Linked DNA regions of Astyanax mexicanus. The protein of the gene in region 1 purifies or fractionates together with the protein of each later gene. This does not show direct contact. Links are inferred from orthologs where the notes say so. Each region holds a gene or a part of one and is shown in the gene's direction. Other genes may lie near its edges. The genes, in order: tubb5 and arl2.

The links.
Region 2: the proteins of tubb5 (region 1) and arl2 purify together in Homo sapiens (co-immunoprecipitation; 3 studies listed by BioGRID and IntAct, counting the BioPlex papers as one, with this or other methods). This does not show direct contact. The link is inferred for Astyanax mexicanus from reciprocal best matches to the Homo sapiens genes TUBB and ARL2.

What each region holds. Positions count from the first base shown.
Region 1 is NC_064413.1:1,501,677-1,509,190, reverse strand, and holds the start of tubb5 (tubulin beta-5 chain), read left to right. Parts: upstream 1-4,325; 5' UTR 4,326-4,427; coding exon 4,428-4,484; intron 4,485-7,514. Other genes in the region: flot1b (flotillin-1b), read right to left, coding at 906-948. UniProt on the Homo sapiens protein: Tubulin is the major constituent of microtubules, a cylinder consisting of laterally associated linear protofilaments composed of alpha- and beta-tubulin heterodimers.
Region 2 is NC_064415.1:24,449,437-24,457,660, reverse strand, and holds the start of arl2 (ADP-ribosylation factor-like protein 2), read left to right. Parts: upstream 1-5,217; 5' UTR 5,218-5,400; coding exon 5,401-5,465; intron 5,466-6,363; coding exon 6,364-6,474; intron 6,475-7,357; coding exon 7,358-7,520; intron 7,521-7,664; coding exon 7,665-7,745; intron 7,746-8,224. UniProt on the Homo sapiens protein: Small GTP-binding protein which cycles between an inactive GDP-bound and an active GTP-bound form, and the rate of cycling is regulated by guanine nucleotide exchange factors (GEF) and GTPase-activating proteins (GAP).

The sequences.
Region 1 (7,514 bases):
GTGTTTAAAGTTCAGGAAAATACAGATAAAGAACGAGAGTCAAACATACATTGTAACATCTAATGATTAAACTATTTATTTTAATATACAGCTCTGAAACAAAATAAGAGAGCACTTAAAAATGATGAGTTTCTTTGATTTTACCAGTTTTACCATAAAAAAAACTCTGGAATATAATCAAGAGGAAGATGGATGATAAAAAACCATTAAACCACCAAACTGAACTGCTTGAATGTTTGCACCAGGAGTAAAGCAGCATAAAGTTATCCAAAAGCAGTGTGTAAGACTGGTGGAGGAGAACATGATGCCAAGATGCATTAAAAACTGTGAAATGTTGTCTGTAGTTTATAGAATAAAACAACAATGTTCATTTTGAGCAAACATAAACCTATAAAAAGCAAAATCAGAAAAGGTGATTCAGAAACTGAAGTGGTCTCTTAATTTTTTTACAGAGCTGTATTTATGGCTAATACACTTTTTAACCAATAAATTTCCATGACTTTTCCATGCCTTCAAAGACATTGCAAAGACTGTTATTAGTGTAAAAATGTCTTTATTTCAAAACTATTTCAAAAAAGTGTTGTTCGTCTCGCTGCCTCCTGGTGTCGCAGTGTTGCATGTATAAATATTCATAAGCAAGAGCCGAAATCCTATAGTTTCTCCCAGCCCTCCACTCCTCCACCTGACTAAAGCAGTGTTATACCAGATCACCAGATGATTTTATTTTTATTTTTCACAAAAATTAGCTCACATGGCCTTCATTCATACTGGAGACACAACTAGACGATTTAAAATGAATGAAAAAAAAAAACCAGATCGATTAAACATTTATTAAAATAGAACAAGTGATTAAATTTCCTTTTTGTTCCAGCCATAAATTCCTACCTATAACGGTTTGTTCTTACCTGAGACCACCATCGCCTCATTGGGACCACAGGTGTAGAACATGTTGATACTGGATCAGACCTGAAAAATAATTCAGTACTGTACATTAAATCCACCTGTGCTGACTTACTACTATTTTTATAAGACAATTCAATGGATTTAATGAGCCAGATCATGTAAAATTCCACAGATCAATCTCTATATGAGGGAGTGAGGGATATCTCGTTGGTGAATTTTTAGCTGTGGCCAAATCACATGACACTTCTTTCACTAGATAAGCAGCTGTTTCTCTCTGGACACTTGTGTGGCTGAAGGCATGCAGTCCCTCCCTCTTCCTCCATTCATTTCTCTCTCTCTCTCTCTCTCTCTCTCTCTCTCTCTCTCTCTCTCTCCATAATATCCTGTCTATACGCCTCAGTTCATTTCAACTACACAAAAAGAAAAAATCAACAAACCACAACCACATGATTTGTCCAGACTTGCGTGCGAGATTAAACCTCAGAGTTTCCACAGTAGAAAAGCTGAGAAAACCCACGTCTTTAACAATGTAGAACATTTACAGCAGCCAAAAAAACTCCACATTTAACAGACCAAATGTGTAATAATACACATATTTTCATATTTGATATCAAGGATAAGAGTTTAAAAGATTTTGATCATACAGAGCTATATTATATTGTAGGCTACATATAGAATTATCTTACAAAGGATGGGTAAACCCCCACATTTCTATTAATATTTTATTATATCTTTTCATGGGACAATACTAAAGATAAAACAATTTAATACAGTGTAAAGTAGTTATTGTACAGATATCAGATATAACAGTGTAAGTTTGCTGTGGTGAGTCGGTACACACCTAAATAAAAATAATATATCTTCGGTACAATCGTTTAAAATGATCTAATTTGCTTTATATAAAAATGCTTTTTTATACACGCATAAAATCATGAGCAATAATTATGCTGTCGACTTATTGTACAGAGTATTAAACGTTTTAATATTTCAATGCCAACGGAAGAATTAACTTTAATAACAGATATAACAGTTCACCCAGCTTTAAAGGTAACTTTAATGTGTTTATTGCATTGTTATGTTATCATATTGTCATTATCTCAATAGCATAAAAAGGCTTGAAAATAAAATATGACAAAAATAGTTTTGTTCTACGTAAATTAACTAGGTAACTTATATGTTATCTATCTTTTTTATAATAGTACTTATACTTAACGTTACTTATAGAACACACAAAAACCTGAACAGCCTTATAAATCTACTATTATATTAACTTTATCCAATATATAACTTTATACAAAAAACTGAACCAAAATGTAATCTGGTAACAGGTAACTGTGGTTTTTGTAGTCCTGGGGTGGATTTTTACTTTCTGGACCTGGACTACACACCCCTGTTAGCTAGTTAGCTAACTATACCAACCTATTACACGAAGAAAACTTGGGAATTGGGAACAGAAATATAATGTTAAACAGCGGTAGGCTGTAAATACATAACCTATAGTTCAAAAGGACATTTAGTTTGCTGATTTTACTCTCTGTCTATACGCGTGCTGTTAGTGAGTAACGTTAAGTTTCTGTTAGCTAGCTAAGCTAGGCTAACTAGGCTAGCTCATCAAAAGCCATTAGCTAAATCAATGTAAACAAGCCAACAGGCGACCGTAGCCCCTGACTGCGCTAATGCTGCGGTTATTCTGAATTATATTAAATAATGTAGTTAAACTGGGGTTTCTTACCGACAGCAGGTCTTTAGCAATGAGCTGTGGACTGTGGAAAAGGTTTCGCAACCGCGGAAAGTCTTAAAAGTACCAGTTTTTGTAGCAGCAGCTGCAGCACGGCACAGAAAACACAGCGAATAGCACACAGACGTAGCCGCGCCCATTTACACACTCACACATACACTTACACACACTCTCTCACACACACTCTCACACACACACACGCACACGCACGCACGCACGCACACACACACACACACACACACTTACACACACACTTTTACACACACACACACATACACTTACACACACTCTCTCACACACACTTACACACACACACACGCACACGCACGCACGCACACACACACACACACACACACACACTTACACACACACTTTTACACACACACACACATACACTTACACACACTCTCTCACACACACTTACACACACACACTTACACACACACACACACACACACTTACACACACACTTTTACACACACACACACACACACACACACACACACACACACAAAACAATACAACAGCGTCCCCTGTAGTGCCTCTTATGTACATTCACTCTAATAGATAGATCGCTTCAGTTTCTGAATCAGTTTCTCTGATTTTATCTCTGATAAAATTAACATTGTTGTTTAATTTTATAAACTACGAACATGTCTTCTGAATTCCAAATAAACATATTGTCATTTAGAGCATTTTTTTGCAAAACTTTCATAATGCAACTTAAATAATGCAAAGAAAACAAGTTAATATTTTAAGAGTTCAGAAATCAATATTTGGTGGAATAACCCTGTTTTTTTTATCGCAGTTTTCATGCATCTTGGCATCATGTTCTCCTCCACCAGTCTTACACACTGCTTTTGGATAACTTTATGCTGCTTTACATTTCAGTTTGGTGGTTTGATGGTTTGTGATCATCCATCTTCCTCTTGATTATATTCCAGATGTTTTCAATTTGGTAAAATCAGAGAAACTCATCATTTTTCAGGGTCTCTTATTGTTTTCCAGAGATAGATAAACAGAAGTAAAGAAAGTGAAAAATAGAAAGAGTGACAAACACAGAGAGATACATAGAGAGAAGTAGAGAGAGACACACGTAGAGAAGGAGGGAAAATAGAGACAGAGAGAGAAACAGGGATACACAGTAAGACATAGAAGTAGAGAGAGAAGTAGAGATAATGAAAGAGAGAAAGAGACTGAGAAGTAGAGAAAAGTAAATAGAGAAGTACAGAGAAAGAAGAAGAGAGAAAGAGATAGAAAGACAGTAAGAAGCAGAGAGATGTAGAGACACAGAAAGAGAAATAGAGAGAAGTAGAGAGAAGTAGAGATACAGAAAGAGATTAAATGTGAGTGAGAGGTAGAGAGAAGTACAGATAAGTAAAGAGAGAATTAGAGAGAAAGAAAGAGAGAACTAGAGAGAATAAGGGATAAGTAGAAATATGTAGAGAGAGAAGTAGAGAAAAGTAATGAGCTGAGTGGAGATAAAGAAAGAGAAAGAAAGAGAGATAGAAGTAAAACGAATTAGAGAGAAATAGAGAGAAGCAGAGAGAAAGAAATATATATAGAGAGAGACTAGTAGAGAACGGTTCACATTAGGCCCCGCCCACGTCTCGCGCTCGGTCAAATCAAATCGCTCCACTGCTGCTCGGCCCCGCCCTCTTACTAGCGGAGCCTCGTTCTGGAGAGAATCCAGAATTATAAAGCCTTTGTCCGGCCAGACTCACTACAGCGGAGCCACGCCGTTACATCCGACCAGAGACCCAACTCCTGCACTTCACCTGCAACCATGAGAGAGATCGTTCATATTCAGGCCGGCCAGTGCGGTAACCAGATCGGTGCCAAGGTAAGAGGATATGCACTGTTCTCCTGGAAAAAAAAGAATAAAAAACGACCAACATGCCTTTAAACATGCTTATATGCATCTTGAAGGGGCTTTAAGATGACAATGAAACCCCCACACCAGAGGGGTGGTCTGGTGGCCTAAGCTGCTCTTTTTTTTTGCACAATAATATAAAAAACAATAAAAAATATTAATTTTAACATGCTTCTTTAGCTTTTTTTTACTTTAGAAATGTTTAAATGCATTTTTAAATATTAATGTAGCCATATGCATAAATATATATATATATATATATATATATATATATATATATATATATATATATATATATATATATATATATGCAGCAATGTATCTTCTATCCATTATTATCTAAGAGAACCATATAGCTAGGTCTGTCTGTATTAGTTAGTTAACGTTAGATGCAGATCAACATGTAGGTCAGGTTTAACTTCTTAATCTAACTATATCTTGTATTTTATGCATTTATTATATGTTTTTTTGACAAAAAAACAGAATAGTAGTTGATATTCACGCATTCAGTGAATAAGTTAATTAATTTAAAGTTTATTTAAAAAAAATTATTGTGAAAAAAATGATTGCAGCATGTTTGTATGAAAAAGCAAAAAAGCACTCACAGAATCCCTCAAAAAGTACAAATAAATATCTTAAATTCGTGATTTTTCCTTTCCTTTTCGGTTCCTTTCACTCCCTTTCTCTTGCTGTCTTGCCGGCTAACGGGCGTGGCGCGAGCTCCACACTGTCTGTCTAAAGCTAAGCTAACATTGTCTGGTTCGGAATTTTCCCGTTCCACCTTAAATTCTGCAGCGGTTCCATTCAGGCGCTCTGCGAGAGGAATTGGACCTAGAATGGAACTGCTGCAGAATTTAAGGAGGAATTGGAAATTCCGTCAAAAAGCTTCGCTAGCGCATTCTGCTTCGTTACTAGGCGATGGAGCTGAGGCAAATGCGGGGTTAAAAAGCTGTCAGCACGTTTTTCAGATTAAAAAAGGGTCTTTTTCACCCATAATCTGTTTGTAATGGTTTTTGTTGCATTTTAAGTCGTCGTTTTCTGTATTTTTGTGTGAATATGGATAAATTTGGTGCAGATCAGATGAATGAGAGTGGGAAGGAAGGGTGGGGCGACACAGACAGAAAACCACTGACAAAGAAAACTACCTTTATCTGGAGAAAACTCAACAATATTTATACAATTATGCACAATAAATAATAGTTTAATATAATCAACCTCTTAATTTATTAAAACAATATTATTTTACATATTTTTTCTACATTTTTTGGACAATAAAAGCTGAAAATGTCAGTCTATGTCAAATCACAGACTATGGTAGATAGACAGCTAAGAGGATCTATTGTAATCTGCTATTAACCCCCTTATAGTTTCACTAATACACTAAAAAAATACAAATGCCAACAACAGCCAGCTTCATTAGTGCATTGTTATATATCTGTTATAACTATTTGGATGGCAATTTATTATAAAGGGCTCATGAGAAACGCAGAGAGTCTATTGATCCATCTCATTATGAAGATAATGGCTCCACATACTGGGCGTATTTGAGTGAACAGGCATTGTATTGAACCGGGTTTGGGTGGGGAGGGGCGCAGGCTCCAGCAGATGGAAGATGAGGGATGGTAATGGGTCTCCCAGCTGCTTCATCTGCAGGCCTGTGGCTCAAACCAGATTTAGTCTGACTAACCGAGGAAAAAGACAGGGGTTATTCCTGCCTGCATATCACTGCCGTCTCACCCGCCCTGCTGAAAAATCCAAAACCAGCTGGTCATCCAGAGAAAACACAGCCTATGGTCAAGACCTAGTTAAGGAGATAGCCTACCATCAGAGCTGATCATGAGCTGAATCAATATCAATATCTATCAATTTTCAATTGTAATCACAATTTCAACCTTTGCAATACTACCAATATTGTGATATGGAGCTAATCACAGCATCGGGCAATACTACCGGGTTTCAATACTACCGATATTGGGTTGCGATATTAGCGATATTGTGACATCTAACTAATCGAGGATTGCAGTACTGCAGAGATTGTGATATATAACTAATCACAGCATCGGGCGAAATTTTCAATACTAGCAATATTGTGATATCTAACTAATCACAGCATCAGGCAAGGGTCGCGATACTACAGATATTGTGATTTCGAACTAATCACAGTGGACGAGGGTTCAATGTTTACTATATTGTGATATCAAACTCATTACAGCACATGCAAAAGTTTGCGATACTACCAATAATGTGATATCTAACTAATCACAGCACCGGGCGAGGGTTACGATACTACTGATTCACAGCATTGAGTTAGAATTAAGATACTACCAATATTTTCATATTTAACTAATCAAGGGTTTGCAATACTACTAATATTGTAATATCTAACTAAATGAGGGTTGCAATAATTCCAATATTGATATCTAACTAATACCTAACTAATCATATCATCATCAGGTGAGGGTTGCCATACTTCTGATTTTGTGATATCTATCTGATCGAGGGTTGCGATACTGCTGATATTGTAACTTTAAACTAATGTGGAGGGACCTTTACAATGATTACACACATTAAACAAAATCCAAGAAGCAATACCAATTACACTTTCTACGCTATCCGACATTTAATAGTCTGAGAGTCATGCATATCACAATACGCAGCAGTTTAATTGCTGTTGTTGTTTTTTCCTGTTTGTAGACAGGCATGTGTGGTGACAGGGCAGAACTCTGGCTGCTTATATAAGTTTTAATTGATGCTCCTGATGACAGTGGGGCTTTGCCTGCGTGGTCTGATGGAAGTGATGGGAGTTGACCATGCCACTCAGCACTTCCCTGCTGTTTGTCCTCATTCTTTCAAAGCAATTACTCCCTCTATACCTTGAGATCCTCATTTTGCAGTCCCACTCTTCCTTTACTCTCACTGTCGTTCAGATCGAGGTCATTTATGCAGTCGGGCGGCTTGATTATAACTCCATATGCTGCTTTTTGTTCCAGATTAAATCCA
Region 2 (8,224 bases), on another chromosome or scaffold:
CAGCACTGGATTCAAACCAGCTACCCTAAGGTCATAGTCACACCGTCTTATTCAACTGGACCCATCCAAATTTTCTTTACAATATATACTATTGTTACTTGCATGCATTTGTCCACCATGTAATAGCAAGCTGCACAACAGGGTGAACAATGACAGGATGGACAAAAAAATTGACATTTGATGAATAGTTGGTGACCTTTTCTTTTATATATATATATATATATATATATATATATATATATATATATATATATATATATATATATATATATATATATATATATATATATATATAATTTTATTTCAATTATTTTCCCACTTTCTTCCCAATGTACACGGTCACTTACCCAACCCACTCATTAGGACTCCCTCTATCACTACCGATGCCCCAACACCAGGAGGGTGAAGACTAGCACATATAAAGTCAGCCACCGCCTCTTTTCGAACTGCTGCTGGTGCCGCATTGCCGAGTAGGCAGCGCACTCGGAGGAAAGCGCAGCGACCTGGTTCCGAAACATCAGCTTACAGACGCCTTGTGTAGCGGACACCTTTGGAGTGATGAGGAGAGAGAGTGCCATCTACCCACCCAAAAAGAGCTAGGCCAATTGTGCGCTCTCAGGGCTCTGTTGGCCGATGGCAAGCTACATGAACAGGATTCGAACTGACGATCTCCTGATCATAGTGGAAGCGCTTAGTCCGCTGGACTACTAGTAACTTTTCTAAATATATATATATATATATATTATCTTAATATTTTATTACAACGGGGTGAATGTAAGTATTACGACAATTTGATAAATATAAAGTAAAATTAACATTATTAATTTTTGACATACAGTTTGTGTCATCAGTCGTCATAAGATTCAGAGTACATTTAAATCCAGTGTAAATCAGTTATCCAGCCTTTATCAGATTAGAGTGTATTTCTGTAGTTGCTTATGGTAACTGAGTGTGGTTTTGTATCAGCCTAAACTTCACTTCCTCTCTAAACTGTCCCAGGACACAAGTCTTTGCCCACTCCTGCAGACACTTTCACTCTCCCAAGCCCGTTTCCTGTGATGTCAGAGTGGTCAGAAACCCCCCTGATTCAGAGCCAAGCAGTTCAGAGTCATGACATTATAAATCAACTATTCCTGGTAAGGAATGTCATTATTCAGTATTGCGTAAACTAGCAGTAATTTGAGAAGACCTAATTTAAAAATGCTCCAGGGGCCTGGTGCCGGGTTTCAATCCTCACTCTGGTCACTGTCCGTGTGGAGTTTGGCATGTTGTCCACGAGTTCATGTGGGTTTCCTCTGGGTATCTTGGTTTCTTCCCACTTTCTAAAAACACACAGTAGATAAACTGATGAACTGTCTATGCTAAATTGTTGGTTACACTATTAAGCCATATCTGAAACTGTCATATTCACTATTCCCTACATGTGAAATTCTACATCATTAAATAGAGCATTCACTATTATAAGGACAGAATTTGATTAGTGTTTCCTTCCTCAGATGTCAGAATTTCCAAGTTGCAAATGGGAAATTTCAATTCTTAGAGGTCGGATTTCCTACACAGAAGGTGGAAAAGCCTCAGCAGCAAAATCCAGTTCAGAATCCAAGATGGCTGCAGTACATATTAACAGTATTATTATTTAGTTTTTTTTACTGACTTCTATCTGTTTGTGTCAGCTCTATCTAATATATACCTGTAGGTGTGTTCCTGTGGTGTTTGAATGTACAAAATATTGCAATCTATTGTTATCAACTGGCTAATATTGCTAATTTGGGACTAAAGGTATTTCATGTCCGGGGACTAATTAGTTGTACAGTACATGTTGTACCTGTTGTATCTTTAGTGGGTTTGAAACACTACTAAATAAATTTGGTATATCAAGTAATTCAAGCGAAATCATAGAATAACCATTTTTGGTTCCATAACAATCCATTTTTGTAAAAATAAAATAAAACATTGAGAAAATGTAAAACCATTTGAAATATTTAACAATATTCTTTAAATTCACAGTCTCTTAAAAAAATGCTTCTTTATGGAATCAAAAGTAGCTCCTCTATGACATCGTTCAACAAGCTCATTGTAGCATCTTCATTTTTAAGAGTGTAGGTGTGAATGAACGATTACTCATGGTATCCTGCAGTGGACTACTGCCATCTTTGGGGGGATTTTCCAGCTTTCAACTAATGATTCCTGTTAGGCTTTGGGCTCACCACGTCCCTGATCAGCAAGAAGAAGATAACAATATGGGTGGGTAAATAATAACAATACTAAAAGTAAAAGATTAAAGAATTAATTAGTAATAAATGCTATTCTATTCATTTTAAGCAAGAAATGTACAGTAGCATGAAAAATGATTTGCCTCCTACAGATTTTTTATTTTTATTTTTTTGTCATACTGATATTTTTCCAATGATCAAACAAACTTTAATATCAGATAATATAATAAGATAATACGATAATATAACCTGAGGAAATATAAAAAGCACTTTATAAATCGTAATTTTATTTAGTAAAAGAAAAAAAACTATGCCCACTAAACCTAATAACTTGGTTGTGCCACCCTTGTTCTGGGGATCATCAAGGTATTTTTGGGCAACTGTGAGATAGACTTTTGTGTTTTTTTTTGTCAGCAGTTTTTTTTTGCAAGTGGATCTCTCTAACGGATAACATTTTGGACCAGTCTCTTCCTTATTATTGAATCATTAACACTGACCTTAAGTGAGGCAAGTGAGACCTGCAGTTCTTTACATGTTGTTCTGGGTTCTTTTGTGACCTCTTGGATGAGTTGTCCATGCCCTTTTGGAATAATTTTGGTCGGCCAACCACTTCTGGGAAGGTTCAACAGTGTTCCAAGTTTTCTCCATTTCTCCATAGCTCTTAGTGTGGTCTGCTGGAGTCCCAAAGCCTTAGAAATTACTTTGTAACCTTTTCTAGACTAATAGATGTCAATGACTTTGTTTTCTCATCTGTTCTTAAATTTCTTCAGATTGGGGCATGATTTGTTGCTTTTTTTTATATATATTTTATTTGCTTCACATTGATAGAAAGCTTCTTTTTTAAGTGCTTTCTTGATTTTACAGGTCTATATTTGTCTGATACTAAAGTTTGTTTGATAATCTGGAAAATGTAGCATGACAGTATGAAAAAAATGCAAAAACAAAAGTAGTTTGTAGGACTACTAAGACTATTTTTTCACAGCACTGTATCTGGTATTGGCAGTAATGCAAAGCTGTCTATGGACTTATTACATTCATTTACACATGACACGACTTTTCCCCTACAAGACACTCGTTAAAAAGTACTGGGCTTCAGAGAAGGCAAATAACTTTTTCCAAATATTTTACTATATTTTCTGAGGAAGTTTTAATAGTGTGGCAATTATAGGGAGCACAGTTCTTGGTGTGCTAATTTTTAGGACCTCCAGACATGGGCAATAGCAAACACACATATGTCATAGAACAGAACAATCTCTCCATCTGCATCAGATATGTCTATCTCAATGATACTCAGTAAAAATATGCTGCTTCTGTTGCAGTCTGCCTCTGTCTTAAACACAACTATTGCCAACTATATCCTTCTAACGCCATATATGGCCTCACATCCTGTAGGCATGGTATGTACTCAGGGAGTGCCTGGAAAATGAGGGAGTGGTCTGTCTGACCTTTTTCTGTCAGTTGAATGTTACACAACATTCTGCATTCAGCAATATTCATTTTACTTTCCCTTTCTCTGCTGTTCTTTTGGGGTATTTAAATGACCTTCTCCCAGGGAAGCCTAAACAAGTGAGCTCTTCATAAGCAGGAGAGAGGGAGTGTTTAAGTATTTTAAAGCAAACCCACATGTTTAACCACATTATCATTAACATGCCTCTAACAATAGTGAAACTGTTTTTGACCATTGATTTTCTAAACCACTTTTCGATTTTTTCATATATTTAGGGGTTTATATTTTAAACTAAACTGTACTCCTTATTATTCATTATTTAAAAGTATAGCATTATTGTAACATTACTAACATAACTGTTTCTTTTAAAGGGTGATTCTCCAAATCGGGTGCATTATTATGTAAAAAAAATATATAATTTTTAAAAAATATATGGTGACTATACTGTATTAAAATGTGTGATGTCCCTTTAGCCCTGTCATTATTATTGTTATATTGTTGTTACTGTTATTGGAAAGTTCTTTATTAATATTTTGATGGTAAGTAGAAATATGAAGGTAATGTTTATTGGACTGCATGTTTTACAAAAAACAAAAAAAGCCTAATGAAATCTTAATGTTAATGCATAATTTTGGATAAATTATTAAATTAAAAACTGGAGACTTGTCCAATAAGCTGTCCCACAGGGAAGTGTTTTTAGTCACAGGCTCAATGAATCAATTATCAGATGAAATTATCATTTTAAGGTATTTTCTCCAAAAAGGCAAGGATCCAAAAAGAACCCATCTTAAAGAATGACCCTGAATATCTCTGTAAATTACATATTAAACTAAGTTATGTTCATATTTATATATACAGTACATTTAAGACATATTTATATATGATTTTTGTAGCTTATTTTTAAGCACAACTTATATTTATAAACAAAATTGTCTCAGTATGTTTATTAATTTAGCAGATTTTGACAGTGTTTGTATTAAATGTAATATATGATATATGTAGGAGTAGAAGTCTACTTTAAATAAGACATAGGTCGTTTTTTTTGTAAATTTCATTTTATTTTATTTACCCAGTAAGATATGCAGATTGATCAATAACCAAATATATTATGAAAATATTCTTGAACTTGTTTTCTTTGCATTTTTTGAGGTCTGAAACCTCTTTTTTTCATTTCTCTTTTTTCCCCCAAATAAATGCTCTAAATGGCAATGTTTTATTTGGTTTACTTAAACATATACCTATAAATATCAAAATTACAGAAACTGACTCAGAAACTAAAGCGCTCTTGTTTTTTTCCAGAGCTGTATATGTATAGTTTCAGGATTTTCAAATTAAAAGTCTGTATGAACCATAGACTGTACTGTATATAGCTTTATATACAGTCTATGGTATGAAACGGTTTTGCAGTGATTGACGGCGGTTTAACAAATTAAAACTGCAGACACGCCCTTCGTCTGCCCTAAGAGGGCGGTACCACTGATGATAGGTAACCAATCAATTTCATCAACTATTTTTATTGTCCTACCGGGTGACCAATCAGGTTTGAGTATGTTGGAGCGGCGCACAGAACACTTCCTGGATTCAGAGAAAGCGCTGGTAGCGCGAGGGAGCAACAGAAGATGTTCTGTTTCTGAGAATTCATACACAGAGGAGCTTCATCAGCGATGTGATTTCACCATTCTGAAGGGTTCCAGTTTCCGCGGCGGCGTTTAGTAACCGGTTCTGGTTAGAGAGTTCACCATGGGGTTATTAACTATACTCAGAAAGCTGAAGCACAAGGAGCGGGAGATGCGCCTGCTGATGCTGTATCCTTCAGGAATTAGCATTATCACTGTAGACAGATGCTGCTGTGTGTTCTTTTTTTATAAAGCTGGTACTGACAGTTTTAGTATTACAATATCTATCTATTTGTCTGCTGGGTTGTTAACACTAATTAGTAGGACTGTGTAATAGTAGGGACGAAACTGACATAGCAATATTTTGTTGTTCTGCAAAAGCTATATACTGGGATTAGGACTCGGCTATATGACGGTATTAAAGTTGTGTTCAAAATTATTCTACACCCACTGCAGTAAAGTGTTTTAGCAAGTTTAACATTTATATTTTATCCTGTTCACCATCAGATCAAATAGGAAATTGTATCATCAGGTGTTTTTAATCAGGCATTGAAGCACCCGTAGAAATATACAGTACCAGCAGCAATTAAACAGATTTGAAAGGACTTGAAAGGATACTCAGCTCCTTCTAGACAGTTAATGGTGTCTTTGCAACACGGTAAGATAAGTCCAGAGAGTGGTCAAAGAAGTCTAGAGAGGAGATATTCAAGAGACACAATTGGAAGCATAATATATTACAGCATTACAATATTACAATTACCCTCTGTCTAGACTTCTTTGACCATTCCCTGGACGTCACCATGTTGCAAAGACAACATTAACTCTCTAAAAGGAGCTAAGTATACTTAATTGCTGCTGGTTGTGGTTCTGTTCAGATCTAGAGGTGTGCCTAATCAATGCCTGATTGAAAACACCTGACTGAAACTCCTGTTCTTGAGAGAGGTTTATTATGCACTTAACCTTAATGCCTCAACTGGAGGTATTTTTGGAGACCCACAGGGTTCTATTTTAGGACTGATATTAATTATGCCAATAACATGCTGTAGTCATGAGAACAGCTCCTGTGACTCCTTAACCATGAGTGCAGTGGTCTGGACAACGCTGGAAAAACGACCATCCTGAAGAAATTCAATGGCGAAGACGTCAGCACTATTTCTCCAACCCTAGGATTCAACATAAAGACGTTAGAACATAGAGGGTAATGTCTGAACCTGAACTGTACTCTTTTCTATGACTTGCATAGAATTTCTAACAATTTCTTGTACATCTTAACATCACTGTTTACAATTTTCTCCATATCTATATTTTAGTCAGTTGGCCAAGACATCCCAGCTGGTCCCATAATTGATAGATAATGTCTGTTTGAACATAGATTGGGACATCAGTTGACAAAAATTTAGTGTGAGGAAATGTCTAATCCCAACGTTATACTGACATGTAAAAGCAAACAAAGTAGATGATTATGTTTTGATATGCTGAGTAACCAAAATTAAGTGTCTTCACATGTCATGTCGTGTTGACAAAAAATACCAACTTTTAGGGGCATGGTGAGGTATGATGATTTAAAACACAACATCTGCTGAGTATCACAATGTTAATGCCTCATGTTGCTATATGCTAATGTGTTGTTAAGTAACCAAAATTTAACATCTTTCTAACATTGGAATTTGATATCAAATCATTGTTGATTTTGGATGAGTTTACTTGATATATGAGTTTACTTTAAAACTAAAATGTTTTTGATTTATGTCTGTTGTCTTATGGGATGACTGCCATCTAAGTTTAACTACTGTATTTTTGAATCAGACTGTAACTGGAATCTTTCATAATTTTCTACAATACTGCAGATACCAAAAACATCTACACAACTGACTATGTTTATAGTAGGGAAATGTAATTAACTGCATAAAATGGCTATACTAACCTCAACCCAGATATTAGTTAAATTAATAATACCTTACTGATTGGACACTCTTAATGAATCATCTCTGCCATAAGTGGTCTAGTTGTATCATTTCAACTAATGGCTTCTTGACGCATACATCCTTCTTGTCTGCTCTTTTTCTTTGATGTGAAAATAGGTTCAAATTAAATATCTGGGACGTAGGAGGTCAGAAATCATTGCGATCCTACTGGAGGAATTACTTTGAAAGCACAGATGGACTGGTGTGGGTGGTGGACAGTGCAGACAGACTGAGACTGGAGGACTGCAGAAAAGAACTTGGTGCTCTGTTACTGGAGGAGGTGAGAATGTTTATTCATTAATACTGAACGATTCATGTACTGGATTACGTTCTCAAGACATGTCCAGTTTCTTTCCTCAGATTTGTCCTTATATTTGTCTGCTTTGATCTTGCTTGTCTAATCATTCTTGTTTCTTTTTACCAGAGATTAGCAGGAGCCACACTTCTTGTATTTGCAAACAAACAAGATCTGCCTGGTGCATTGTCTAAGGATGCAATCAGAGAGGTTAGTGTTTCTTCATTGCACTTAAAACACTAGGAGGATTTAAGGTTTTGTTTGGACTGCCAGCCCAAATCAAATTTTTGGTCTGTCTAGATTGTATCCAGATTAGGGGTGGGCGATATGGCCCTAAAATAATATCACAATATTTGATGGTATTTTCAGAATACACTACTGCAACCAAATAAAAATGTAATGTTATTATTGCCTATTATATGATATGGCACACCCCTAACTGAGATATTAAAAAATAAAAATTTCTTCAGATTTATAACAGAAGTCAATGATCCAGAATGTCATGACACATAATAATACACAATTTTGATTGTCTTGATAGTTTAAAAAAAACATGAAATCCATACAGATGTGCTTAGGTCTGGACTCACAAGTCTGATTATAAAGATTTCACAACAACCCAAACAACAACCACGTCAAATCCTGATTGACCTCAACTTGAGAGTACAACGGTTTGGAAAAGATGATGA